Oryzias latipes: one gene and its partners. The protein of the gene in region 1 purifies or fractionates together with the protein of each later gene. This does not show direct contact. Links are inferred from orthologs where the notes say so. Each region holds a gene or a part of one and is shown in the gene's direction. Other genes may lie near its edges. The genes, in order: pole, ciao1 and mms19.

Region 1 (9,563 bases):
TTTTGTTTATTTAAACTAAAAAATAACAATCATAACTAAAAGACAAGTGGGAACGCTTTTACAATAGATCAAAAGATGATTGGAGTGGGACTTTAAGTACCTCATGGTATAATTTTAGAGTTATTTACTCTACCCTGATACTTCTACTTTTCTGTTTAGCTATTTCACTTTTATTAATAAACTTTGTAGTTTTAGCTGCAATAAAGTATTTTTAAACATGTTTTAAATGTTAAAACACCACAAGTAAAATTAAAATGTACATTATAATCTTGCTTTTCCAACTTTAGTTTAGTTCATAATGAGTTAAGCAATTCTGAGACAGAAGAAAGATCCTAATGTTTTAATAAAAAACAGAGTTAAAAATACAAAACTAGCTATTAATAGCATAGTCTAAACATTTCTACGTTTTAGTGAATGTGATGGGTAGATTCACTATAAAGAGAAAGAATATAGTAGGTTATTAGTCAATTTTCTATTGACATCTAAAAAAGATGTATTGATGCGTATAAATAATAGTATTGTGAAGATGAACAAATCAATCACATTTGTTAACATTATATGGTCATCTTAAAGTTGATGCTGATTAAAGATGTCCGAACCGTCAACAAATAATTATCTAAATGGAGGTCCAGAGGTTCATCCACAGCTTAGTCTGTTTTTTAATCTATAAACAACAATGGCTCACAAACGTTGCCTGTGATTTTTAGAATTCTTAGTTTTTGAGACTGAAGGAAGCTGATGAATCAAAGAAAAAGAAAAAAACCTTTCCACCAAACTAAACTGATCAAATTTTACAACATTGCATTTAGTCAACAGGAAAAAAACACAGTTTGAACAGTATGTACACAACTAAAACAATGAAAACACACATGGCAGTTCCATGAAGATATTTTAGTGGTTTTCAAATCTTTGACTGTTTGTTTCGAATAGTAACAAATCTGCTGTTGCATAGACATTTTCTGTAAAGAGCCAATAGTAGAAAAGAAGTAATAAACACCACACTGCAGCTTCATTATTAAGAGCATATAAGTCTAGATTCTTCCACGCCTGAAAGGCCATGATTTGTGTTTAAAATTTGTGGTTAAATTTAAGACGTTTCTTCACACCCCAAGTTAACTACAACGAACCCGTTTAACCTGCTAACCTTATTATGCCTGAAGAAATTTGTAGTTTTGATCCGTTTCTGCACTTTTCATGGCTTTGCGTTAAAGATGCAATTCAGATTTATTTGAACTACACAGAAGTAAATGTCCTACCTTTTCTTCTTCATGGTAACACACAGTTACACTAGTGTGCACGGCCGCTGGAAATTCTATCCCAACAAACAAGTCCAGCCACATACATCTAGACGTTTGTAAGTCCTCCTCTGTGTCCCACGTCATTTCAGACACCGACTAGGCTAAACACAACTCCTGGCTTACAAGACAAAAAAGTAAATACATCTGAAACTACATGGCGGATTGCGGAGTGTGCTGTGACCTGAGCAACTCCCCGAGTGGTGTTCAAAGTCACCGGCTGGGATTCTTGATCCAATAATAGAGCTGAGATGCTTGGCAGACCACAATAACACAAGTCAATGCAGTCAGATGATAACACACAGCTGAGTGACAAGAAGCCTTTTGTCACATTGCCTCTACCATAAATAGGAAAGAATTTCTACAATCTATACCGTAATATATTTCAAATGATTCCATCTGACTGGTGTTTGTTGTAAACACTGATCTTTCACACGTCAAAAGTTTTTCATAGCAATAAAACATGCCTGTCCTGAAACAGAGAAAATAGGTCTCACTTGATGGTTGAAGGCGTGGGCGTCGGCACTGCAGAGGGCTCCATCTCTGTGGCAGATTTCGGCGTAGAAGCCTGAGATACTCCGCTTGGAGGCTTTGTGACCAGGAGATCCTCATCTGAAGAGTAATCCTCTGAAGCTCCCAGAATGAACTTAAGGCGCTTCCTCTCCTCGGGCCTTGAGCTGAGCATAGGAGCCGTGGCTCTGACGTGGTTTGAAGTGCTCTTTGGCAGCAGCTCTGAGTTTACCTCAGAGAGAGTCTGCAGAGGATCACACTCTGCTGTTTTGACTACAGAAGCCATAGGTTTGCTGTTGGCTGGATTGTTGTGTTTAGTGGTTAATGAAGTTGAGGGAGCTAATAAGAGTGAGTAGTTGTCTGCATTGGAAGGGGTATGTGCGCCAGAGGCACCCTGCTCAGGGGAATCCCAGACAGAATCCGATCCCTGTCCTTCCACAGACATTACTCCAGTCTTGGTAATAATTCTCCAAAGTAGCACAGATATCCACAGGATGAGTCCCAAAGCTGCAAAAAGGAGCATTCGCAGACATCCTCCTCATACTGGAACGACAAGGTAAACATTATCTTCACATTTAAGAAAATTCTGATTTAAAACAAGAAAAAAACATCAACATTTTTGAAGGCCTTTGTTTTAAAGTTTTATAAGGACTCTTAACTCAAATTAAACAAAGTCTGATACTTTACATCCCTTATTAATTTTTTTCCGGGGGGGGGGGGGGGTTCAAGGTTAAAAGTTTTAAAGTTAAAATGTATGAATCGACAAGACAAATGTTCACAAGATGTTTACATGTGTTGAGAGTCTTTGCTGCCCTCTTGTGGACATCTTTGTAAAGGCATATTGTCTCCATTTTTAAAGTGTTGTGAAGTTGAATTAACAAATCTGTTCATAAACGTTTGGGCAAAGTATTCATATTTGCAACTCATGGTATCTGCTGTTAACAACTGTGAATGAACCTAGCTCAACAAGCTAAATCTTACAGTGCACAAAAGCATATAGGGACCTTCTTCTCTTTAAATTCTTTTTTTGTATTGTTTTGTTTTTTGTTATCTATTTACAAAATAAAAACTAAGGTTAAGTACCAATATCATTGTAAGATTCATAAAAAATGAAAAGAATAGCAGTGTTATTATTTTCTGAGATGCGTCACACATTTGCTGGCTGCAGAATCTTATAAGACATGTACTTGTGAATAAAAATACTTCCTTAAGTCAGATTTATAAATCTTTTACATCTACATTATTGTGTTAAATGAGGTGGAATAAGCAAGGTATACTGTAATAAGGTCACAAGTGTATCAGAGAGCCACACATGCAAACCCAAAACTGATCTAATGAATCATTTCAAAGACCAGTGGAGTCTGGGGGGAAAAAAAAGCATTCAAGGAAAGTTCACGCATGAGAACGTCAGCCGTAATTTATACCAGTAAATGAATCTTACTAGAAAACAATGAAAGTACTGCATTACCAGGTATTTAATTTGATGTAGTTAATACAGTTATGCAATAGTCATAATATTCATTAAAGTTACTAATTGACAGTTTTTCTGTCACATAATCATTTACGATTTTAAATTAAGTCAACATTTTCTAATGGCAATATTTTAATTTACTACATTTTTTTAAATCAAAATAGTTAATAGGCAAATATTTACTTGGCTTAAGATGTAAAGAACTGATAATGTTTAATTTAGGGGACCTCATGACCTTGTTGTGGCCTTTAATGTATTGAGACAACTTGACGTGTTACATTTGTGTCCCTTGCAGTTCAGATATAAGCACATTATTATTTGGACAGCGAGCAGAATGTGAACACAGAAACAGCTTCAGAGGATAGACATTTTAAGTGCACAGTGACGAGTAAAGAAACGATTAAAAAGTGTAAGATAACACCCTCACATCAGCTTAAACATTACGTAGGATTAAACAGATTTACACAAAGTTTCTATAGGTATGTGGGGTTAACGGTGCCAGCGGGTCCTGGCAGGAGACATTCCCCAGCAAGGCTCCAGTAAACAGGCTGAGAGGAACAGCTGCCATCGGAGCTGAGGGTGGCTCCTCAATGCAGGCTAAAGGTCAATACTGAGGGACAGAATGTATTTTGTACTGAAATGGAAACATCCATGCAATCAGCCTTTACAAACATATGGATGCACACGAGAAGAACTGTAAAAATGATGGGCTATACCATTTGCAGTTCATGCACAACAAATTGGAATTTCTTAGAAAAGTATCTCATTGAATTTCTAGTTTTAAAAAAAAGGAAATATTTATGGTTTTATGTCAACTGGAGGAATATGTTCCCTAAAAAATACATTAACATATTTTCTTAAAATACTTTTTATGATTCAGAGTTGTGTCCTTATATGTAAATTATTTTTTAAGCATTACAACTTATTTGTTAGTATGTTTCTTTCTATTTGACCTTATTACTTAAAAAGATAATATTTAGAGTATAAAAATGTGACTGATGCTTTAACAAAGCTGGGAATTTGAATTAAGGAACAAATGACTTGTTTATCTAACAGGAAATGTGCAAATATGAAATACATTCGAATAGCGCAGGAAACAACATAATCAGCTACGATCTGAAGGCTACATGCGGGTCAAGGCCACCTACCACAACCACTGCACGTTGTGTCATCCACTCACCGCCGTCCAACACCTCCTTCAGCAGGTTATAATAACACTACAAATGCACATGAGAAGGAGGGGCGGGGTTACAGTGAGGCTCCTCCCAGGAAGAAGAAGAGGAAGAAGAAATCTCCAAAGATCGCACATTTGTCAGAAGTCACACTCCATTTCTCTTTAATTCAAGTCAAGAACAAAACTAATTGTACAATCACTGAAAAGCGTCATAGGTCCACTTTTTACCACCTCTTTATTGCAAATTCTCTCGGAAAATCTGAATGTTGTCAAAAAAAAAATCTTAGTCATAAATTTCCTGGTTTTACATAAACTCATTATTATTAGCGTTTTCATTGTTTTTATCTGAAAGATAAATATTTTTTCTTGTCATAATATGAACTGTAAAAGCCAAATCACCCGAAAGGAAACATTGAAACAACGAATAAATTAGGAGTGAATGTTCTCTTTAATAAACGATTGTTTTCACTGAGTTTTGGTCTCGCGATAACAGCAAGAGCGCGCCAAAGCAAGAAAAACACAAACCCTACCTGCAAAATTGCCGAAGGAACCAGGAACATAAACTTCAAGCGTCTAAACTTATCAAATGTGAATTATTCTACCATTGGAAAAAGACTACTCGTTGACATTATTTTTAGTAGGGAAAACTATTACATAGAAAATGGTTCTTCAAAATAGTGGACGTTACAGGACGGACCGCGGACCGAATGGAGGAGACCAGGAAAACCAGTGAGTGGCTTTTTCACCAGGCAGCTCTTGATTTATTGTTTATCCACCGACAAAGTATGCTATTAGGCGGAAATAAAAATGCTATGATGCTTATGTGTCTAAACCAGGGATGATGGGTCCTCGATGTCGGCCCTCAAGAGGCTGGAGCGCAGTCAGTTCACCGATGACATGGACGCTCGCTTCGGATTCGACAGGATGAAGGAACCGGGGGAGAAAACCGGGTGGTTGATCAACATGCACCCAGTAAGTCCACTTCTAGTCTGCCGCGATTTAGGGAATGGTTTGGAGAGGACACTGACTGTTTTTCATTTACAGACAGAGATCCTGGATGAGGACAAAAGAATGATCAGCGCTGTGGATTATTATTTCATCCAGGAGGATGGAAGCAGGTTTAAGGTTAGTGTAACCTTTAAAAATAGATTTGATTATTCAAATATTTAGTTTAATATTTACCTTGTGATATTTACTGTCTGTAGGTGGCCCTTCCCTTCAAGCCTTATTTTTATATTGCTACAAAAAAGGTACATTTTTTTAACTTAGTTTAGCATCTTTTCTGTGTAAAGAAAGAGCATAATCGGGTTTTGTTATTCCTAGAACTGCGAAAGAGAGGTCATATCATACTTGTCTAAGAAGTTTCAAGGCAAAGTGGCCAAACTTGAAATGCTTCCAAAAGAAGATCTAGATCTGGTGAGTTTAAAAAAAAAAATCAATGTGGATTTGGTTTTAATCAAGTCAAGTGGATTAAAAGAAAAAAAAACACCTGCTTTACCCAGCCAAACCATCTCGTTGGACTGAAGAGAAACTACATCAAGCTGTCGTTCAACACCGTGGATGACCTCATCAAAGTCAAGCGGGAGATTGCTCCTGCCGTGCGCAAGAACAGAGAGAGGGAGCAGTCGCATGATGAGTACACCTCCATGCTGTCGAGGTATCAACAGCTCCTCTAAGCTGATCTCCCGTCTTAAGATGAGTGTGATGGAGACGTTTCTCTGCTTTGTTGTTGCTTTAGCGCGTTGTCTGGAGTCGGTGTGACCACAGCAGACGAGGACGGGATGTCAAAGAGCATCGTCGATCAATTAGACAATGTGGTGGACATGAGAGAGTATGATGTGCCTTACCATGTCCGACTGTCCATCGACCTTAAGATCCACGTTGTAAGAAGAACTTGACAATAAATTGTATTTACTTTTTGGACATCTGGCTTTGCTTCATTTAGTGTCTCTACTTCGTTCAGGCTCATTGGTACAACGTTCGCTACAGAAGCAACGCTTATCCCCTAGAGATTATCCGCAGGGACGATCTTGTGGAACGACCAGTAAGAAGATTTTTATATTCCTTTTTTAAAACGGTATCTGTAAATAATTTCTGCTCATACAAAATAACATTCTGGGGTCTTTAGTTCATAAGTTTCACAGAAATCTTCTTACAGGATCCAGTTGTTTTGGCCTTTGACATCGAAACCACCAAACTTCCTCTGAAATTCCCAGATGCAGAGAGTGATCAGATTATGATGATCTCCTACATGATAGACGGGCAGGTGTGTTCAACTTCAAATGGTTTTTTTAACAAATTTAAAAAAAAAAATCTTTCAAGTTGTGTTGTTTCACACCAACCCCTGTTTTATCTCCTCAGGGGTTCCTTATTACAAACAGAGAGATTGTCTCTGAAAACATTGAGGATTTTGAGTTCACCCCCAAACCTGAATATGAAGGGCCCTTCACTGTTTTCAATGAGGACAATGAGGTTCGTAGCTCTCACATCGTAATTATAACAACAGTTGCAGGTCTACAGGTCCTTGAAAAACATACTGTTTCTTTTCATTGGCTGCAGGCTGCTCTCATACAGAGGTGGTTTGATCATGTTCAAGAAACAAAACCAAACATCTTTGTGACGTACAACGGAGACTTCTTTGACTGGTGAGTTTGTGTGTCAGTATATGCACAGAATTTTGAGGAATTTCTCAACATGGTTGTTCAGCTGCACGAAGACCAGAGCGGCCAGATCAGGCTCAATAGCGACCTTTCAGACACTTTCCCCATCATCAACGGCGTAAAACAGGGCTGTGTCCTGGCACCCACTCTTTTTACGATCTTCTTTAGCATGATGCTAAAGCAAGCCACTGATGGCCCTGATGACGAGGATGCCGTGTACATTCGCTACCGCCTCGATGGCAGCTTGTTCAACCTGAGACGACTGAAGGCTCACACCAAGACCCGTGAGCAAATGATCAGTGACCTCCTCTTTGCTGATGACGCAGCTCTCCTAGCTCACACCCAGAGAGCACTTCAGCGACTAACTTCCTGCTTTGCAGATGCTGCCAAGCTCTTCAGACTTGAAGTTAGTCTAAAGAAGACAGAGGTCCTCCACCAGCCAGTACCTCGGGAAGTGTACCAGCCTCCCCATGTCTATATTGGAGAGACAGAACTAAAAGCTGTCCAGCAGTTCACCTACTTGGGGTGCACAATTACCTCAGATGCCAGGATCGACAAAGAGTTAGACAACAGGCTCGCCAAGGCGAATAGTGCCTTTGGCAGACTCCACAGTCGGGTGTGGAACAACAAGCACCTGAAAAAACCCACCAAGATCAGTGTATACAGGGCAGTTGTGGTGACCACCCTTCTTTCCGGCTCTGAGTCTTGGGTCACTTACCAGCACCATCTGCGAGTCCTCGAACGTTTCCACCAGCGCTGTCTACGCACCATTCTTGGCATCCATTGGAGCGACTTTGTCACCAATGTTGAAGTCCTCGAGAGGGCAGACATCCAAAGCATAGAGGCCATGCTTCTTAAGTCGCAACTGCGGTGGGCTGGGCATGTACACAGGATGGAGGACCACCGACTGCCAAGGATCACTCTGTATGGCGAACTTGCATCAGGCCAGCGAGATAAAGGGGCACCAAAAAAGAGATACAAAGACTCTCTTAAGAAATCCCTTGGTGCTTGTAACATCAACCATCGTCAGTGGTCTACTTTGGCAAAAGACCGTGACACCTGGCGCCAGTACATCAAAGACGCTGTCTCCTCTTTTGAAGACAAGCGACGGACTAGGCTAAAAGACAAACGGCAAATGAGAATAGCCGGCCTCACGACTGCACCGAATCCAGAACAGACTTTCACCTGCAGCCTCTGCTACAGGATCTGCCTTTCCCATATTGGATTGCTCAGCCACGAGCGAGCTTGTAGAAGACGTGGACAGCCCTCTTCATAATCTTCGTTTACGAAGCCTCGCCATGATATGCACAGAACATTCTACAATCTGGTTTTTGGTGTGATTTTTAGTGTCGTGTAACACTCCGATTATAAGAAGATCTGATGTTTCATCTGAATTTAGTTTTTAAAAATGGAAGAAAATAGGCAACTAAAACTTTTAATGCAAATCATTTTGACTTGTTTTTTTCTCTCTAGGCCTTTTGTTGAGACTCGAGCTGCCGTCCATGGACTCAACATGCACAGAGAGATCGGTTTCCAGAAGGACAGCCAAGGAGAGTACAAGTCCAGCCAGGCAATCCACATGGACTGTTTAAGGTGTCAACACAAACGACACAGTATCATATTGAACGGTATTTTTAATTATACAGATTTATCACCACTTTCTCCTGTTTCAATGTATCAGGTGGGTAAAAAGAGACAGCTACTTACCCGTGGGGAGTCACAATCTGAAGGCAGCGGCAAAAGCTAAGTTGGGTTATGACCCAGTTGAGCTGGATCCAGAGGAAATGTGCCGAATGGCAACGGAAGAGCCGCAGGTATTTAAAAAAAAAAAAGAACCAGGGAAAGTTTTAAAATTAAATAGATTTTTAATTTCTTTTCTTTTTTCACCATTTTTTCCGCTTTTTTCTCCTCAGACCTTAGCCACATACTCTGTGTCAGACGCAGTGGCCACATACTATTTGTATATGAAATATGTTCACCCCTTCATCTTTGCGCTGTGCACAATCATCCCAATGGAGCCTGATGAGGTCTGTTAGAAGCATTTTCATAAAAGAACTCTTAAATCCAAACATTTAGTTTATTTTACTGATGATTAGTTTTTTTCTGTTTGGGTCTGTTCGCCAACAGGTGCTCCGGAAAGGTTCCGGGACTCTGTGTGAAGCCTTGCTCATGGTGCAGGCCTTTCACGCCAACATCGTGTTCCCCAACAAGCAGGAACAGGCCTTCAACAAGCTGACAGATGACGGCCATGTTTTGGATTCGGAGACCTACGTGGGTGGACACGTGGAGGCGCTGGAGTCGGGAGTGTTTCGCAGCGACATTCCCTGTCGGTTTAAAATGGTACTGTCATGTTTGCTCCACCCCTTTTTGCCAGTTGTCGGCACAGTCCGACTCTTTTAAAACTAACAGTTTGGCTTGACTCGTTGACAGAATCCAGCTGCGTTTGACTTCCT
Region 2 (9,807 bases), about 5.1 Mb from region 1:
TCACAACGCCTTTTAACCTGATACGGATACTGCTTCTTTGTTTCATCCTCAACCTCGAGCTCAACTCTTTAACTCCGGTAATCCCACTTCTTCTGCCACCTGGAATCTTCTTTCTTTCACCTGACACTCTGTGTCCTCTAACCTGACCTTGTCACTGGCGTCCCTCATCGCCTTCTTCATCTATCCCAGAAAAGCCATTTTGCAACAGAGACCATTTGTGCTGCTACCTTTGTCCAGCCACGCCTTCTTTAGAGGATTTGCCTGGAAAAACTACTTTCCTGTTGTCCAAACTGAGCTTAAGACTGTCTAAACTATTTTTACTGCACCTGTCCTTCCTGCTGTCTGCTGCCAGAAAGAAGACTTTAACCCCACAACTTCAAGAAGCAGCGCATAGAAGAATCCCTGTTTCCCTAAACAAACCCTTTAGTTCAGCAAAATGCATAACAAAATTCACATATTGTGCAGAGAAGCGTTTTTTTTAAACAAGAACATTTTATCTGGCATCCAATTATTATGAAAAAATTAAAAATGTCTAATTTAAAACTATTTCTACATTCGCACATTTAAAATCAAAGAAGGAAAGTAGCTTTTTTCATTGAAATTATTCAATAATGAACCATGCACCTCTTTGCTTGTCACTTCCAGCTGCTTCTCTGGTGTCTTCAGAAACACGTGGTGAAATTTGCCTCACGATTGACTGTCAATTGAGGTTGTTTTCAGGCATTTATTAAGTCAGCAGCACCTTACTCTTACATACCCGATAGGTTTCCGTGAACGGTGGAAGTCCTTCAGCACCCTTTCCACATCATTATGCAGCTTAAAGTCTTTGCCATCCTTCATAAAAGAGGATCTGAAGAGTCAAGATACATCCATTAGTCTTAGTTCTTTGCGTTCAGTCACACCAGCTTTTACCTTTGTGTGTTTTCAGTCTTTTTTTTTTTGTGGTTATGTTCCTCACAGATTCTTAGTGATGCCGTAGCCTCCAGGGAAGATGACGGCATCAAAGCTGCTGGCATCCAGGGAAGACAGGTCCTGCATTTGCATCTTTCCCTGCCCGTGGCTGAAGCGCGCTGACTCAATCATCATGTTCCTGTTTATCAGTCAAACATGACCAAAAGTAGTTCCAGTCAAGTTGAATATCAAAACTATGACATTAGGGAAGAACAGAGCTCTTCTTAAGCGTGTCAAATGAGTGGCTCCAACCTGTTCTCCCCAGAAGCTGGTTGCTTTTTCATGTGGTCCATCACGTTCATCTGCTGTTGATTTGGGGCAAAAATCTGGAAGCGAGCGCCATTTCTGCTCAGGTGGTACATGGTGCTAAACACAAGTGTTTCCAGTTATGGTCATTCACTGGTGTACAAAACTTTCCTGATCTTCTCATACTCACTACACGCCCTCATGGACGTCAGTTCCATCCCACCATCCGCATCCAGAGAAAACCTAGAGTATAAGGAGAAATTCCAGCAATGTGTGCCATGATCTCATTACTGATCTCACAAAGTTCTGCTTAACCTACCACAGCGACATTGGTGTTTCCCCAGTTGCCATAGTCACCCTGGTGAACAAAGCAGGCAGGCTGGCGGAAAAAAACAGCCAGTGTTTGTTTAGAAAGCAAAGCCCTGGTTCCCAACATGGTTCTGCTTTGGTCTCACGGCTTTGAGAGGAGAAATGAAACGTTGGAGTTTCTCACAGAGCTTTCCACGACCTCTGATAGTCCTGATATTGATCCGAGTGAAGCGGCCTGTATATATACCTCCATAGTGCAGCCAAAGTGACGTGGCCACGTAAGACCATTGTCTTATCACACCTGCACTTGTTTCCCCACTGAACTCCCTTACCTACGCCATTACCGCCTTCACCGCTCCCCTAATCAACTTATTTAACCACAGAGGGACGCCTCCTGACAAATCCAATCAATATCTTTGTTTGCCTTTGATCTTCATGGGATTTGCTGGTGGAGAAATTGTGTTCAATGTTTAAAGCAGCTGAGTGACATTCCATATGCCCTTTAAAGTCCATTAGATTGTAAGGCTCTTACTCTCTAGTAATGCCATGTAGCGTCTAGACGGTGAACCCAGAAATATCCTTGGCAGATGGAAAAGACAGATCAAATTTAAAGGCTTCAGTTAGTTAGTGGAAGGCTGACATTTGGTTAAACTCCTGGACGCCTCAGTGGGATGTAAACCAGCAGGACGCAAAATATGACTTTGACTTTATTAGAATCAGTTGATGTAAGCAATCAATATGTACATACTGCTGACAGTATAGCAAAGATTAATAGTGGAAAAATGTTGTAAAACCAACTCGAAACACATTAGCCACAATTCCAAGTCTGAACTAAGTGAGAAGATTTGGGCTGAAACGTAAAAATTGCACACTAAAGAACTCATGCATGGGTACAACATGATGGATCCAACACACAGTCACAAAATACAAATAAGAACAATTCAAAGACAAAAAATAAAAAACAAAATAACCTTACATACTCATCCTGCAAACACTTTTCTTGGGCATCTCCCTTTCTTTACGCCCCCACCTTACAACAAAAACACCCACCCGGGCTGTTTTTTTTTCCTTAAACGCCCAAAATCTCACCCCCCCACCAAAAAGCACAGAATAAAAGACACAGAATATAACCATAGACAAATGTCTACAAAGCAAAAGAACAATCAAAGACAAAAAGAAAAGTATGTGCAATAAATAGGGTCAATTTTCATAAAAATAAAAATTTAAAACAATCTCGTCAGTGTACAGATGAATTTGCATCTATGGTGCATCTAAAAATAAATCATACATATGACAAGCACATCAAATGAAATCTAAATGCTGCTTAGCAAAGCTCCATCTTTCTCCAATTACATCAACAATCTGCTAAGAGCCAGTGTGGCTTTGGCTGCATCATCAAAATCTTAGGGAGTACTGGTTTGCACTCATTGCTTTTTTTTTTAATTTTACATGTAAAGACTAAATTCTGCAAGTCATTTAAATGCAGATATTTAACCAACCCCATGTTGAAATGAAGAATTCCCTTCTAAATGTCTATCACCACCAAATAAAAGCGTTCATGCACCTCAGCACTTTCATTGAATGAATCTGTGCACTAAAGGTACACAAACTGTTTTCGTTGCCAAGAATATTTGCAGAGATATTCATTTGATAAAGAATGTGGTTTGCGGGTCAAGCAAACAGCTGTGCAGAGAGGAAAGACAACCCAAGGCCATGTCGCCGCTTTTTGCTGGCATTATGGTGTGTAGGCAGGAGGTGGCTGAAACTGGTTGGCAATGTCATAGTCAGCAGGGAAAGTCTCGCTGCTGTCCTCCATTTCTGAGAGCAGCTCCAAGGCCTGCTCTTCCTCCTCGGTGGGATAATGGCGCAGGAGGTTTGCAGCAGTGGCTAGAATGGAGGCTCCACCAGCACCTGCCACCAGGTAGAAGCTGATGGCAAAGGTGACGTAAATGAGAGAGCCATGGTACTTTTTGTGTTGCTGCTGCAGTGACAAGATCAGTTCCGATGCCCAGTAGCAAAAGCCTATGACTGTGGCACACTGCAACACTGGAAAGACAAAGAAACCAGTTACATTGTAGCAATGTGTTTGATCTTTATTAGAAATGAAAACAAGCACTGTAGATACCTGTTAGTATATGTGCAAAAGCATATCTGCGAGTTATCTTTAGGGCAGGGTGTTTGGGTCCAAACACATCCAGGAGGAACGCAGTTAGACTGCACAGGATGCCAAGGAAACAGAAGGCAGCTATTACCCTTAGCAGCAGGATGGTCTGCGGATTCACACAGTAATCTGAAAAGACAGACGTGCCACAAATTCATATAAATTAAGGCACTCCATGATCCTCAGCTTAGAGTGGCAACGACTTTGTGCTGGTTCTTACCACCCAAAAGATTGGGATCAACGTATCCCAAGACATCTGCCACCCCGAGTTCTTGTCTCGGGCAGGTGCCTCCGTGAATCCGGAGCCAAGCAGGTTCAGCCAGAGCCGTGCACAGCGCTGTGATGGACAAAGCTCCGGGCAGGGCCGACACTAGACTCCGCTCCGGCTGTTTGGGAAGTGAGGTACCGGCTCTCCTCCTCCGACCTCCGGAGACAGCGGGACCCGGTGGGGCATACATAGCTGACCGAATGGCGAATTTTCTGTTGAAGTGGTAGGTTCCTCTTAGCACTGTCTTCCTCTTGACAGTAGTACCGGGTTATTGTGGTATTAGAGTAAAACTACGGCAATTGTCTTCCAGGATATGTCAAAGATTTCGGTGGCGATAAAAGTGCTCAACAATATAAAAACAACAATAACCGCTTCCCTAAAGTAGTCAAAAAATATTAAGGAAAAGCCAACACAAAGAACAGATCCTAAGCGGGCCTTTAGCTCTGTTGTTAGCCTCTGAAGCTAACTAAAAAAAATAAACACTTTACGTCACCAGTTCTCGGAGGAAAGACACTTTTTAGCGAACGAATGGGAAAAAATATAACCTGTAAACATCAAATCCCGCTGATAAAACCGTCCGTCTCTATGATACAAAAAGGAACACAAAACAAAACAAAAGATAGCTTACGCTGTTTTCCTCAAAATCCCTAACTTCCTGTATATGCCATTCTTCTTCGTGACGTTTAGAATGTTTGCTGTACACTACCGCCCCCAGCGGAAACTAAAATAGAAATGTACACAATGTTTAGCATGAAATTTTCTTTGCAAACAGTAATGTAAATATAGATTCATATTATAAAAATACATATATAGGTAGATCACTTTCTTTAAAAATATATAAATGAAATATTACCATCAAAACGTTTTATTTTAGATCAACCCATAATGCACCGGGTCCAGATCCCGATAAGCAAACATGGCGGCATTTCCTAATTTGACGCTTCTTTGAACTTATCTGTGTGAACAATTTTCCTTGGTTAATTTCCCCCTCCTTTTGTTTTAATGTTCATAAAGGTGTATTAATTTACTCGCAGTCCTCTTGTCTGTCGTTTTCCTCATTTGTGACTCTTTTTAGCCTAAATCTTTGGTTAACGGAAATCGAGAAAAGTGTCGAGTCGACGCCTGACAGACAGAGGAGTCACGTTTGCTGGAGCTCTGCCATGAAGGAGGCTATTTCTCTGGTGCAGAAACTCAGCGCACACCCAGATTCTCGGTGCTGGTTCGTCAGTTGGAGCCCGAGCGGTGCGCTGCTGGCTTCGTGTGGTGGCGATAAGGCCATCCGGATATGGGGACAGGAAGGTCAGACTCAGACAGACAAAGAGCCTTCTATTCGAATTTTGCTACGCCGATTTAAAATCAGTGGTTGGATGACCTTACCTTTTTTACAGTTCATGTTTTCCCTTTTCAAGGTGACTCTTGGGTTTGTAAAAACGTTCTGCAGGACGGACACCAGCGCACTGTGAGGAAAGTAGCCTGGTCTCCCTGTGGGAACTATCTGGCCTCCGCCAGCTTCGATGCGACGACATGCATCTGGAAAAAGAAGAACGACGACTTTGAGGTAAGGTTCGTTTAACCTCTGATCTAACACGTGTTCTGGCTCCACCTGGACTCTTTTCTTGTCTTCTAGAGCTTAACTGTGTTGGAAGGTCATGAAAACGAGGTCAAATGCGTGGCGTGGGCCCCTTCAGGGACTTTGCTGGCCACTTGTAGCCGAGACAAGAGTGTCTGGGTTTGGGAAGGTTTGTGTCCTCACCAGCTCTTGCAGGACAATCCTTTGTCACAGAAAACATATAGAGCTGGGTTGTAAACCTTTGTTTTCCTTCTTCACAGTGGACGAAGAAGATGAGTACGAGTGTGTTACAGTGGTGAACTCGCACACACAAGATGTAAAGCATGTTGTGTGGCATCCCACGCAAGAGGTAGGTCTGCACTCAGTCCTTCACCATCATGTAGTTGTTTTATTATTGTTGCTATTAATTGTTAAAGTGCATCTTTAGCCATATTTATGATCTACGTGCTGTTTTTAATAGAGCCATGGTAACGACGTTTGTGGGATCAATAAAGTTGTATTTTATTCTATTTCCGCAGCTCTTGGCTTCTGCCAGCTACGACAACAACATCTGTATTTACAAGGAGGAGGATGATGACTGGGAGTGCAGGGCCACTCTGCAGGGACACACGTCCACCGTCTGGAGTTTGTGTTTCGACGTGACGGGACAGAGGCTGGCGTCTTGCAGCGATGACCGCACTGTGAAGATTTGGAAGGAGTATCCAAGTGAGAGTGGTGAGAAGATAGAGGGGTAGTTTATGACATAAATAAAAAAAAATAGGATATTTTTTAATCACAGAATGTTTTGTTTGGTCTGCTTTATTAGGTGATTTGTCATGGAAGTGCGTTTGCACTCTGTCGGGTTATCATGGACGAACAGTGTACGACATTGCCTGGTAAGACTAAATACTTACACTACAGCAGGGGTGTCAAACACACGGCCCGCGGGCCTTATCCGGCCCGCCAGGTGGTTTACTCCGGCCCACACATGAAGAGTAAAAATCAAAAGGATGATTAAAAAAGAAAGCAAGTTTCTAGTCCATTCCTGTGGCGAATTATGATTTTTTAAAGAAATAACAGAAATGTGCAATTCCGCCACTAGGGGGAGTAAAGGAAAAGAAAAACAGTTGAAACAGCAAATATCTGCATGTGCCAAAAGCGAAACATAACAGCTCTGCGTCTGGGTAGGATGCACCTTGGTTCCCTATGAGCCTTACCGCTGTTATCTTGCTATAAGGATGATCATTAGCGACACCCTAATGACCAAAATGCTGTCAAACGTGAAGTGGAGGGAAGAGCCTTCCAGGAAAATTGGACAGAGTTTTTTCTTTTTTTCACGAAGCTGAATGTAAAACCCAAATGCTTTGTATGTCATCAACATCGCAGTGCTCAAAGAATATGACATTCAGCACCACTAAGAGACTTATCATAAAGAAAAGTTTCTGGATTGCTTCAGTGTCAGATGTAAAATATTCAGACTGCATTAATTTGAATAGACCAACTTTTCTTTAATTGAAATTAATTTTATTTGAGCTCCATTGGCCCCAAGTGATTAGGCTACTATGTTGATTGAGACATTTTTTCCAACTGAATAAAAAACTAAAACAAAGCTGTTATTTTGCTTTTATGTTACTGGTCCGGCCCACTTGAGATCAGACGGGTTAAATGTGGCCCCCGAACCAAAATGAGTTGGACACCCCTGCACTACAGTCTGGTGTCTGATTTTTTTTTTTTTACTTTAAAAATAGATTCTATTTACAGAGTTTTTAAAAAGTTGCCAAAACAGATTTTCTTCTTTGCTTTTTTGGCTGTACCACCACTAAAACAGCGCTTGTCATCAGTCGGCTGAATCTTTGTCCCCTTTACTATTATGGCTCAAACAACTGTCTGTTGCGTAGGTGTCGACTGACCGGTGCCCTAGCAACTGCCTGTGGCGACGACGCCATACGAGTGTTTAGGGAGGATCTCGCGGCCCATGCAGATGAGCCGGTGTTCTCGCTGGCTGCTCAGGTGAAGAAGGCTCACTGTCAGGATGTGAACTGCGTCGCCTGGAACCCAAAGGAGGCCGGCCTCCTGGCCTCCTGCAGTGATGATGGAGACATTGCAATTTGGAGGTTTCAAGAAGAAGACTGAACCTGCTGTGGAGACACCAGCAATTGGATGAAACCCTGTGCTGAACTTAAATGTTCTTTTCTTTTGCTATATAAAGTCATGCTTATACAGTTATCTTTATAAATCTGAATGATTGTAAAATGTAAAGTTTAAGTTCTATTTTTATTCACAAAAGTGATGATGGGTGTGCTGGTTAACTGTTTTTAGTCCTACAACTTAAAAGGAGCAAGAAACTAGTTCTGTTCTGTTTACATCTAAATACATCTTTATAGCAAAAAGCAGGTTTTCTGTAAAAAAATGATTTAAATAAAGCCTCAAACCCTTGGAGTGATCGGAGACTGTGCATAACTACTGTACACCCAAAAAATGGAAAATATATATATATATATATCCCCACACCTGAAATGTCTGAATAAGCTTGCAAAAATGTATTTTGGAAACGGAAATAAGTAACTGCACTGAATGAACTTGTTTTCAAGTTTGGTAGTTGGGTTTACCTTTGTGCTATCTTAGACGACCCCACCCTTACTTTGACGTGTTCTCCCTACCATGATAAAGGTGGAAAGATTTCATGTAATCCATGGACACCAGTGAAGATCACAAATCATTGAAGAAAAAAAGGTTCAGAGCACTGTCTAGTGGGTCTAGATGACCCAACTCCCAATGGTAAAGTGCCTAGGATAGCACAACACCACTATCAGTAGTCAAAGCTCACCAACTGGCTTGCACTGTTAATTTAACCCTTGTGCTATCCTAACATTGGGAGTGGGGTCATCTAGACCCACTAGAAAGTGCTCTGAACCTTTTTTCTCCAATGATTTGTAATCTTCTCTGGTATCCATAAATTACATGAAATCTTTCCACCTTTATCATGGTAGGGAGAACACGTCAATGTAAGGGGGGGGGGAGTCGTCTACGATAGCACAAGGGTTAAACCCAACTACCAAACTTGAAAACAAGTTCATTCAGTGCAGTTATTTCCATTACCAAAAGACATTTTTGCAAGCTTATTCAGACATTTCAGGTGTGGGGATATATATAGGGATAAAGGGAGGGGATCAAGAACAATCTTGTCAATATCCATTAAGTGCTGTAGTGACATGAGCTTGTAGCATAAAAGGGGCCAGACTAAGAACTAATTGTTTCATAATAAAACTATAAAACAATTTTCAGATGTTTTTATTGCAAAAAACAAACAGACAGCATGAATGATTAAACGGTTTAACCAATCCAAAAAATCTTATGACGTTTAACCAAAGTAAAATGGAAAGTCTAATCTATTTAAACATGCAATGTGGATGAGACTCAGCTGTTCAACGGCAGTTTAAGATGTCTTAGACTTATCTTTGAATAATTTTGTGAAAAGTACATCAATGGTCAACGTAAAGAACACAAAACTTCTGAAAAGCTGTTTAACATACAGGATAAAACGATTGTACTGACTACGAAAACATGTTATAACACCCACAGAGAACTGACAGGGTCACTCTCAGAGATTGATCGGGGTAAATATCTACATATAAAACCTGATCCCATTATTTATTGAAAAAAAAAAAAGGATTAAAAATGTAGAATTTGAATTTCCAGCTTAATCTGAATCGCTGTCGCTGTCTGCCTCCTTCACGTCCACACTGAACTTGTACTCCTGATCACAGCCCATGTAAGCGTCGCTCATGAAGTACAGCGTGTAGTTGTGAATGCCCATCGCTGGTGCCACAAAGTCCAGCTTGACCTACACAGAAGAACCAAAAATGAAAACTGTGGTAGTTTGCGTATTTTTGGTTAGGGAGTGTTCAAAGCAGCGGCTCACCTTCGCTTTTTGTTGCAGAGTCAGCCTCTTGATTGAGATCAGGCTGTTCGACTTCGGGTCTCCGATCACAACCCACCAGCCCTCCTCACGTTTCTGCAACGATGAGACGATCAAACGATGAAGCAAATGTAGGAAACACCTATAGGGAAGTGGACAGCCACTCAACTGACCTGAGGGAAAAGGGGAGCGACGACAGGGCCAGTCACCTCCTCCTCACGCTCCAGCTGAACCTGAACCAGAACTGGACTGCCACTGAAGAAAACACAGACCAAATTTTATCCAGAGGGCAGTGCTGATGTAAATCTGATCCAAAAATGCATCATTGTTTTGAATAGTTCTTGATTGGACTGCACACTAACCTCTTTATGTTATCCCTTTCTACCACTTCATACGCGAGCTCG
Region 3 (9,882 bases), on another chromosome or scaffold:
GTGGTCGTTGCACTCCAGCGCCACGGCCGCGGCCTTCAGGGCGTCCCAGATTTCCTTGCGGCCCTCAAAGGCCGGCGCCGTGTCCCAGAATTCATCCCTTTTGCTCCGCAGCTGACCCTCTGTCATGGGGTAGTCGCTCTTCCATTTGGGACGGTCTCTTTTCAGAGGTTCGTTGCGTCCTGCGAGTCCAAACAACAAATCAGCCACCATCAGGCGAACGCACGCGCCAAAGAAGATCAGCATTTAGATCAACTGTTAAAAAAACACAGGAGCTGAACGTTTCAGTTTTACTGCAGGTAACAAAAAACGGCGAGTAAATCCTCTGCTTTCTTTTCTGAACAGCAATAGAGTCCATGAATGGAGAAGAGCCATCAGTCAGAAGATCCTGTCCTCCAGTCTAAACACAGAAGTGACTCAGAGCTGCATCTAGACCACACGCAGGCTTCTTTACTTCCTGGTATTCCACAGTTTTATCTAATTTTTTGCTGAAAAAAACGGATCAAATGTTAACTTTTGACTTTCAACTGGATCAGCAGGAAACCGTCGGAGGTCACGTGACGGAAAACGAAGGCCAGCGCTCGGCGAGGAGGTCACCTGTTGAATTATTTGTAAGCGTCTGAGACACACAGAGGTCGGTGTTGGGTTAGACTCTGGAGTTTCCCGTCTGAGACTCGGGACAAACCAGGAAGAAAGTCAGACTGAGGAGCCAAACGATGATCCAGAAGATGGAAGGAGGAAACATTCAAACATGGAGGACTGATGAGGGAATAACAGCACCAGTGTGGCTTTCAGTGATAAACCAAAAGATTTTAAACTAAGGAAAATTTCAAAAGCAGAGTTTGTTTTCCTAAATAATCCACGTTTGCTAAAAAATCTGCAGAACCTGTGGATCATAGAAGCTCATATTTTCTGGATTTTTTTTAAGCACAAAAAATTAAGAAATTTGTGGTCTTAAAGCCACAAACTTTACATCTAACGAGAGGAAAAATAAAAACCAGCGACAAAGAGAGAATTTTAAAAAGTCTTCTTTCTTTTTTTGTTTAGATAAATACTATTCATCAAAATGTATCTGCTTTAATAACCAAAAATGATTTAAAAAGATAAATAAATGACTCATCTTCACACAAAAGTGTGACTTTTTTTTTCTAAGTCCCTGCAGGAATTTTTTTTTTTTTTTTTTAATTATGGGGGGTGGGGAGGGGGGGTTGCAACCAATATAAATCAAAAACAACCAATGGAATCAAAAACATTATATCCAACCTGCAGACATCAAATTGTTTTTAACAAAACTTCTGGCCGTTTCTAAAAACGCGTTTGAAGTGATTTGCATTCAGTTCTCTTCTGGTTTTTACAGAAGTTTGTTGCAGATTCACCGTTCTTTAATGTTTTATCTGATCAGAAAAACCTGTTCCTGCTTCTTTGTGTGATCTGTCCGAGGTCCTGAACGGAAACCAAAACCTGAACAGGATCCGCAAAGTCATCAAGGAGCTCATGAATCTCATTAGGGGAAGAAAATGTTCTAAAACGCTAGTGATTTTCATTTTTATTCCTAAAATCAGTCAAATTGTTTAGTAAAAAGATGTAATTCCGTAAATAGATTAAGAGAAGGATTAAGTTAAAAAATAAATCTTAACGTTCTGGATTTTATTCATTTATTCCATTATTTCCTCTCTGAATCAATTCTGTTTCATATACAGAACTGTTTTCACATATTTAGTGGTTTAAATTAAACAAAAGTGAAACTTTTACCGTTAAAACCTCAAACTTGGGACAACATAAACTTCCAGAAAATGTATCCATGTTTTTATGCATCCACAGGACATTTTTAATTCTGCTCTGATCATCTTTTGATGCATTTTCAAAGTGTTCCCAGTGGTTGTTTAGCCATGATTATGACATTGTTAGTCTGTCGTTTTCTAGGACATAGTTTCTGCAGAGAGGAAGGCGTTCTTTCGACATCCACCTCTGAGTTGTTGGCAGGACGGTGGGTGCAGAGCTAAGCCGCAGCTGATATCCCATCATCCCTTTGTTTACTTGCTCTCCCGTTAGCTCACAGCCCCTCACAACCACAAGCTAACATTAGCGGTGCAACAAAAATGGCGAGCAATCCAGTTTAGATCCAGATTCCAGCTCAGACGAGGAAAACAGAGACGTTCATGGATGTGTTTGTCTGCAGGTGGATGATCAGAATGGAGCAGAGCAGGGTGCTTGTAGCCCCCCCCCAGTATTTTCTACGACACCAAAATGATCTTTTTCAAACTGCATCTTTTCAGTCTTTAAAGAGATTTCTGAAACGTTTGATGGGAATAGTTGTGGTAAAGCAGAAATAAGAGGAAACGCCTGGTTGGTAAGAAATAGAGCACATAAAACGACACATTTCAGACCGGAGGAACAACTTCAGTCTGTTTCTCTCAGCAGCAGCAAAACCATTTCTCCCTTTTTGAGTTTGGATGAGACGCCTGCATTCCTCAGCAGCGTCCTCTTCAACGCTTTTGCAGCTCTGAGGGTTGATGGTCGTTGATGGTCGTCCATCATCGCCTGCGAGCCTTCAGCTGTCAAACTCAGGCGCTTGTGGAAGCTCATCAGCAGCAAAAACCTTCACATTAGCAGCTGAACGAGGCTGACCTGACCAAAGTCGTGACCACAAACAAGGATTCACTCACACATTTCATCGCCCAATTTCTGCTCCGTCACACAAGCGTCTGCAGGTTGGAGAGTCAGCGATTGCCGCAGGGCATGATGGGACTTGTTCTCTGTTAATGAGGGAGTGTCTGACGGCAAGCGAAGCAGGAAATGAGTCACAGTAAAATACGAGAGGAATGTTTGCTCCGACAGCCTCAATAAATTCTAGACACTAACGTGCAAAAACACACTCAGCCCCAGTGGTTTGATGCTCTAAGCAATGTGAACGGTGGCTGCCTGGAAAAACTTGGTTTTATCCTGTAAAACTGGAGTAAACGCCAACGCAACACATATATGGACACACGCCAAGGTGACCTTATATGACCACAGCTATCACTGTCAAAAACACAGAAAGGTTCAAAGCAAAACCCTCAGAGAGACTGCTGTAAACATGTTTCAAAATAAGAGCATACAAATAAAAAAGCAAAAATAGAAATCATTTCAAAATAAAACCAAGGTAGAATTAGAGTGCAAGCACATTCATGTAAACATCTTCGCTTAAAGAAGCACTGCCATGAAAATGGAGTTTTAAACGTGTTCTTGTAGCATCTTTTGATGATGGGAGGACAAATGGAAAGAAAATGAAGCTCAAAATTCCGTTTCTGAGTGTCTTCTTTATTCAAATCAATGCAAATCGGGAGCAGACGGAAAAAAACGTGGTTTGGAAAACATCGTATTTGTGATGAAGAAACAAGCTTCCTGCTCCGCCCCATTCTTAAGCATCCACCTGCATGAACGACGAACGTTTTATTTTAAAGAACTCCTGCCACGCCGCAGGAGCTCCGATCAAAGGTTCAAATGGAGAACATTTCCTTCAAAGCAAGCTGTTTGACTCCCTTTTGTTTTTTTGCATTTGGCCTCACAGGTCGACCGTCCTCTACACTCTCGTGTGCTTCAACTTCAGCCGGACCTTTCGCCAGGTTAAGAGATGCACAAACATGGAATAAACAATAGGTTTTGAACTTTCTATACACGCATTCTACAAATAAATGTGCGTTGAGTGTGTATGTATGCACTGCAGAAGATTCCCAAACTTTTGGGCGGATTACAGACAATACTTGTGCAAACAAAGGAGAGCAGCTATTCCACCACTTCTTATGCAGGTCAAGGTCAAACGCAGAGGAGGCCACGTTCCTGTTTGCACCCTAAAACCAGCGTTCAGAGGCGCTGCTGCATCACGTGATCACGTGATCCATTCAGTCACAGGTTCCTCAGGTACCAGCTCACCTGCACGCATTCAAATGTGTGTCCTTTCCGGGTTCAAGTCCAACCAAATCAGCTAAAGCTCGTTTGCATAGTAGTTAGGGTCAAACAACAGTGTCAGGTGTCAAATAGTTGAAGATAAATGTCAAATAAGAACATAAATAATACCCCCCCCCCCCCCCCCCCCCCAGGTTTAATTAACCTACATTTAGCTCGTTTTCTTGTCTTTTTCTATGACTCTGCTGCATTTGCTACTCTAAAGTGTCATATAAACAGCAAACTCCGAACCCACCGTTCCCGGACGAACCTCGGCTCTGTGACTCGTCCCAGCCTCGCCAGTACCTCCCCACGCATCCTCCCATGGCCGGAGGGGCTGTGGTCGCTCCCCGCGGGGCTTCACTGGCTTCCAACGGGGCCCATGGCGACGAAGAACCGAGTCCGGCGAAGATCAGAACCCGCAGGTGCAGCGCTGCTAGCCGGATATGTCATCCGGTGACAACAAGGCGGTGAAATCCGGTGGGAACCGTTAACAACTTTTTTTCTGTTGTCTGAATAACCGGTAAAGTTCGGTTTAGTTGCAACTGTAAACAGAAAAGCTTTCTTGCTAACAGGCTAACTGGGCTAACCAGCTAGCTCCGCCAGAAAACACAAACTTCCGCGTGCTCGATGTCATTTCCCCGAGTTTTATCTTCCCTATAAAAGGGTCTGGAGGTAGAGCTTCACTCGGAGCTGAATGCAGAACCGTATCACGCCCTTCACGCGCTCCCGGACTACTTTTCTTCAAAAGACTTGGAAAAACTCCTCACTTTCTGTTGCTGCTGGTTGAGAAAGTGTTCAGAAACGAGCTAAGGCAGGCGAACTTTTCTGCACATGCGCAGACAACCAGGCAGGTGGGTCTGAAGGAAACGTAAATAAATGATAGCAGTGACGTCACAATAATGGTTCAAACCGTCTTTGATATTAGGAGAGAAAAAACAATACACAATGACAATAAGTACATTTTAAAAGGGCACAAAGTAAAAATACTATCAATAAAGTACAGATTCTTATGAATATTTCACTTTTTTGTAGGTATTTTTCAAACTTATCCAAACAAATTAGGATTTTTCCATATAGTTTAAAAAAATACTGAACAAAAACGTGTGAATTCCAGTTTATTATAACGTCACATGAAAACTTAGATAGAATGAATGCAGTCATACGATGAACAAAAAAATATTTTACGTAGTTTAATATCTTCTGGGATTTTAATCCAGATCATGTTATCAAACGGTTTCAGCTTTTAGTCCAGCTTGAAACATATTTCACTGCTTAATTAATGCACTTATAAAAGTATGACATCTCCAATAACACCTTTATGACCAAACAAAAATGATCAAGCTTAATAAATTGTTACATTTATACTTGTTTATGTTTTTTGAGATACTTTGAATGTAATGGTGTCTTGGACATAAATGTGTCGTTCTTTTGTGTAAAATCTCTATATTTATTTTATTTAAAAGCACAAACAATATTTTTTAAAAATATATTTATATTTTTTCTTAACCAAGAAAAAAAAAGTTGGACTTTGGCGTTTGAACTTTCTGCACATGCGCAGTGTCAGCAGCGTGGAGGAAGCGCGATGGCTGCGGACGGTGCCTTGCTGCTGTCTCTGGTGGAGGAATTCGTCTCCGGATTGCAGGACAGCAAAGCAAAGGACGCCGCTAAAGGTACAGCAGTCGTGTCCGGTGTTTGTCCTCACATTTACCAGCGGGTTTGTGTGGAAAACTGAGCTGGAGCCGTTAGTTTCCCATAAAGGTGCGTGGGGGTTAACTAGCTAAACTTAGCGTCACAACATCCTGTGCGGGATGCTGCGTGAGAAGCTCCTCCTGACACTAAACATGTCATGAATCTGCCCTTTTTCCGGGGCGGCAGGAACTCGCAGCTATCTTTGTTTACTGAAACCATGACTGTACCTGCAGTCTGCTGTGGTCTCGTGCCTGCTGCTAGCTAGCTGCTGGCTGGGCGCGAGGAGGATCCTGTCATTGAACCCTCAACCCCCGATTTACCTTTGATCCCGAGTTTGTCTGTGTGGGCAAAGCAGGGAAACACGTCCAGACTACCGAACCGATTCGGTTCCGATTCAGCACAGACCTGATAACTTATGACGTATCAAATTAAAGGAGTTTTAATTATACCCAAAGTAAACAGAGGGGGATCTTTCAAAATAAAACGATCACTTATGTCAATCAAATTTACTGAAGTTTGTTTTTCCCCTGATACTATATTTATTTAAAGGCTGTTATGACGGAATACTGAGGCCACCATGAAAGAAAAGCAAATATTTGACAATGAAGTTGTAACATTATAAGAGAAAAGTTCAAATTTTTACAGGAATTCAGTCGTGAAATTATGAGGAAAAAAGTCCAAACTTTATTATGAGAATTGAACTGTAAAATAATCTGAGAGAAGTCTAAATTTGACGCAAATAGTCCTAAAATTTTCCAAAAGAAATGCATATTAAATCAGTTTTTAGTTTTTTCCTTTTAAAATTCAGACTTTTATTTATTTACTTATTTGAAAAAGTATGACTATTTCCTTGCAATATTGCAACTTTTGAAGTAAAACATTTACAGCTTTATGTTAGAAAATTGTCGTTTTCCCTTTTTTTAAAGTTTTTTCTTGTACATTTTTTTTCCTTGTAAAATTTTGTCTTTATTTTTCTCAGAATTGTACAACTTTATTCTATATATGTACTCATTGTTTCCGTTACCGTGGTCCTATTTGCACGTAAGGCGGCGGGCGCGTTCTTACTTCGACCTCCACTGCAGCGGCAAAGGAAAGCGATAAATACGCTGATGGTTCACATCAAGCAGCCAATCAGAATTGAGACCCGGACCGTGGTATAATATGGATTATTTAAGCTTTTGTTGACATATTATTGATTCTTGCTCAGGTGTCAAAGATGGAGCGTTTACAGTTTTGCAGTTAGTGGAAGCGTTGGGGTGAGCCTTTGTCTTTTTCTCCTTTACTTTTTTACAAAAACACAAAAAAGTGACGCCGTTCTTGTTTTCAATCGACTTCCCGTCCACCCGCAGGCCCAGCCTGACCAGCTCGCAGCCGCAGACTCGCGCCCGCGGCGTCCAGCTGCTCTCCGAGGTCCTACAGGACGGCCGTGCAGAGCTGTCGCAGAAAGAAGGTCAGAACACCAAGCCTTTTCGTCTGCTCAAAGTGAGGAGCGTTGTTGACATCCTGTTGTCCCATCGCAGTGGAAGTGCTCATGGCTTTCTACCAGAACCGCCTCAAAGACCATCACGTCACCACTCCGCCCGTCCTACGGGGGCTGCTCGCCTTGGTAAACTTGGGGGACCCGGTTTCAGACGGAGGCGCTGCTGGAGCCTCCTTGTAAGTTTGTGTTGGTTTCTCCTCAGACCAAGTGTGCGGCGCTGCCTCCCGGCTCGGCCGTGTCCATGCTGAGGTCGCTGTTCCAGGACGTCCACGTCCAGGTGAGGTTCTCCATGAAGAAACCAGGATCTCCTCCACTTCCTGTTTTCCGGTAAAGGTCTGCTCCGTGCCGTTTGTCTCGAGGTCTATCTTGACGTTGTTGTTTTTTGTCTCTCAGTCGCTGATGCTTGCAGAGCGAGCGTGTGTCTACAACATGCTCACCAACCTGATGGAGACCAGGGAAGCCGGTAAGAGTCTTCCTCAAAGTGAAGGGGTTCTGTGCTGCCCGTCCCAGGAGATGCAGAGCCATCAGAAGCTTTATAAAGAGAGAGGCGCTTCTAGAGTAGAGGATCTAACCTGATCTAGAGGATCTAGCTGACATTTGTGAGACCGTGCTCTAGTGGTCACTTGGTGAACTGCGGGTCGCTCCAAACCAGTTTAGGCTTGTTTGATAAACTGAATTAATGATTTGATTATTTAAATTCTTTCTAATTTCTCCAATTGTCAATAACGTTTGTTTATAGTATCCATACAAATATCTGACACTCTATGCGTTTGGCGGTCTCTCACGTCCTCTCAATCCTCCATTCAGAGCTGAAGAGTTTGGGAGCCGACTTTGTCTTTGGTTTCGTCCAATCAATGGACGGCGAGAGAGACCCTCGCAACTTGCTGCTGGCCTTCAGGATCGCCAGAAACCTCATCGTCCAAGGATACGATCTGGGTGAGAAGACCTTCCTCCCCCCCCGTCTGTTGGTGATGTCACGGTTTCCTTCTCTCAACCTTCCTGTCTGCTGTCTCAGGTAAATTCGCAGAGGAGCTCTTTGAAGTGACTTCCTGCTATTTCCCCATCGACTTCACCCCGGTAAGTTCCTGTTGACGACGTCTGCAGACCGCCAGAGAAAACTGTTGCTCCTCCCCCCAAAAAACAAGTGTGATCTGGGCATTCGTGCTCCTCATTGGGGTCTCCATCCTCTCCTCTCTGGAGAAAAATCAGCTAAAGTAAAATATGTCGCTCTATTATCTTCAGGATCTGCTACATGTCCCTCTCTCTCCCTGTCTGTCCCTGCCACCCGAGAGCTGCACAAATTCATTAAAAAAACACGCTTTTGTCATAACGGTGCCTTTTATGTACGTTTGTCTCCATAGCAACCATTTCAATTTTTGGTCGTTTGAGGCCGACGGACAGATCAATGTCATTTTTAGAGGAATACATTTTTGGATTTCCTTAGCAACTGAGGTTTTTTGTCAACCCCGCCCACATTCCTAATATGTTCATATCTACAATGTCCTGGTAAAAAATGTGCGAGCAAAAGTTTAAGTCGCACTGCCCCCATCTGAAAATCGCCCAATTTTACACTTTGCCACCTTTTGCCATCCCATAATAATTTCAAAACTTACTTTAAATATCCCTGACATGTGTGTTTTGGTTTTGCCGGGTTTTTTTTGAGCCCCCGGAGATTGTGGGAGTGTCAGCAGCAGTGTCTGCAGCAGCGTCTGCAGGAGCGTCTGCAGCTGTGTCGGCAGCATCTGCAGCAGCGTCTGCAGCATCTGCAGCAGCGTCTGTGCAGATCTCTGACATGGTTCTCCAGGGTTCTGACATCTGAACTCTTTAGATCAGGACGCGATTCCAGGATAACTTTTCATCTAACCTGTCCTCCTATTCTTTTTCCAAAACCCCCTCCTGGTCCACTGCAGCCCCCCAACGACCCCCACGGCATCACCAAAGAGGAGCTGGTTCAGGCTCTGAGGGCCGTCCTCACCGGAACGCCAAAGTTTGCCGAGGTAACGACGGCGGGTCTGCTTCTTCTGACTCGATCCCCTGAGCAAACATTCTCCGGCAAACGTTTCTGTTCGGCTTCCCACAGTTTCTGTTCCCCCTCCTCATCGAGAAACTGGACTCAGAGGTTCAGAGCGCCAAGCTGGACGCGCTGCAGACTCTGGTGAGGAGACACGCCGTGACGCTGAAACAAGACACCAGTTTTCCTCCAGTCTCGTAAAGCAGCACAGTGCATAAACCCGTGCTTTTACTCTGAAAGGGTAAAGGGCGGGAAACCTTTTTCTGCAGAAAACGGACGTCTGAAGTGAATTTTTATTTCTTAATTTTATTTCACCTTTATTTACCGAAGAAATGTCCCATTGAGATCAAGAATCTCTTTTTCAAGGGAGTCCTGGCTAGAAGGAAACAATAAATTATATCTACAATAAAATGTAAACAATTAAAACAAAATAAATAAACACAAAAGCTGATTCAGCTCAGACATGCTGATGTTTAGATCTGCTGTCGCTGCAGTCGTTTGTTTTTTAGTTTTGGACAAAAGAGGAGATGGAAGAGTTCTGTGACGAAATAAAACACATTCTATTAGAAATCCTTTTCTAAACTATCTGTTATTTTGGGTCTTGGCTTAAAGAACCTGATCTTCCGGTGAACTCTCAGACGTTGCTTTCTTTCCGCAGAACGCATGTTTGTCGCGCTTCGAGCACAAGGACACGGCTGAGTTCCTTCAGGGCCTGTGGTCGTCGCTGCGTCGAGAGGTCGCCACGCTCACGGATTCAAACGTTTCCTTCCAAATTCAA

What was found.
Region 2: the proteins of pole (region 1) and ciao1 purify together in Homo sapiens (affinity purification with western blotting; 3 studies listed by BioGRID, with this or other methods). This does not show direct contact. The link is inferred for Oryzias latipes from reciprocal best matches to the Homo sapiens genes POLE and CIAO1.
Region 3: the proteins of pole (region 1) and mms19 purify together in Homo sapiens (affinity purification with western blotting; 3 studies listed by BioGRID and IntAct, with this or other methods). This does not show direct contact. The link is inferred for Oryzias latipes from reciprocal best matches to the Homo sapiens genes POLE and MMS19.

The regions. Positions count from the first base shown.
Region 1 is NC_019867.2:13,278,181-13,287,743, forward strand, and holds the start of pole (DNA polymerase epsilon catalytic subunit A), read left to right. Parts: upstream 1-4,934; 5' UTR 4,935-5,111; coding exon 5,112-5,179; intron 5,180-5,286; coding exon 5,287-5,422; intron 5,423-5,494; coding exon 5,495-5,575; intron 5,576-5,655; coding exon 5,656-5,700; intron 5,701-5,773; coding exon 5,774-5,866; intron 5,867-5,952; coding exon 5,953-6,107; intron 6,108-6,188; coding exon 6,189-6,333; intron 6,334-6,413; coding exon 6,414-6,494; intron 6,495-6,608; coding exon 6,609-6,716; intron 6,717-6,811; coding exon 6,812-6,922; intron 6,923-7,009; coding exon 7,010-7,095; intron 7,096-8,583; coding exon 8,584-8,703; intron 8,704-8,791; coding exon 8,792-8,924; intron 8,925-9,023; coding exon 9,024-9,137; intron 9,138-9,237; coding exon 9,238-9,450; intron 9,451-9,540; coding exon 9,541-9,563. Other genes in the region: acacb (acetyl-CoA carboxylase 2), read right to left, coding at 1,793-2,328. UniProt on the Homo sapiens protein: Catalytic component of the DNA polymerase epsilon complex. Participates in chromosomal DNA replication.
Region 2 is NC_019867.2:18,357,914-18,367,720, forward strand, and holds ciao1 (probable cytosolic iron-sulfur protein assembly protein CIAO1), read left to right. Parts: upstream 1-4,819; 5' UTR 4,820-5,095; coding exon 5,096-5,234; intron 5,235-5,344; coding exon 5,345-5,493; intron 5,494-5,562; coding exon 5,563-5,674; intron 5,675-5,765; coding exon 5,766-5,854; intron 5,855-6,023; coding exon 6,024-6,219; intron 6,220-6,310; coding exon 6,311-6,380; intron 6,381-7,382; coding exon 7,383-7,617; 3' UTR 7,618-7,927; downstream 7,928-9,807. Other genes in the region: ES1 protein, mitochondrial-like, read right to left, coding at 758-850, 959-1,090, 1,204-1,317, 1,388-1,440, 1,517-1,633; tmem127 (transmembrane protein 127), read right to left, coding at 3,242-3,552, 3,632-3,796, 3,888-4,125; snrnp200 (U5 small nuclear ribonucleoprotein 200 kDa helicase), read right to left, coding at 9,185-9,328, 9,407-9,499, 9,577-9,658, 9,766-9,807. UniProt on the Homo sapiens protein: Key component of the cytosolic iron-sulfur protein assembly (CIA) complex, a multiprotein complex that mediates the incorporation of iron-sulfur cluster into extramitochondrial Fe/S proteins.
Region 3 is NC_019877.2:1,647,032-1,656,913, reverse strand, and holds the start of mms19 (MMS19 nucleotide excision repair protein homolog), read left to right. Parts: upstream 1-4,667; 5' UTR 4,668-4,775; intron 4,776-5,482; 5' UTR 5,483-5,506; coding exon 5,507-5,594; intron 5,595-6,820; coding exon 6,821-6,869; intron 6,870-6,962; coding exon 6,963-7,063; intron 7,064-7,133; coding exon 7,134-7,219; intron 7,220-7,295; coding exon 7,296-7,370; intron 7,371-7,486; coding exon 7,487-7,556; intron 7,557-7,900; coding exon 7,901-8,029; intron 8,030-8,108; coding exon 8,109-8,170; intron 8,171-9,003; coding exon 9,004-9,090; intron 9,091-9,173; coding exon 9,174-9,248; intron 9,249-9,762; coding exon 9,763-9,840; intron 9,841-9,882. Other genes in the region: ubtd1 (ubiquitin domain-containing protein 1), read right to left, coding at 1-179, 4,178-4,247. UniProt on the Homo sapiens protein: Key component of the cytosolic iron-sulfur protein assembly (CIA) complex, a multiprotein complex that mediates the incorporation of iron-sulfur cluster into apoproteins specifically involved in DNA metabolism and genomic integrity.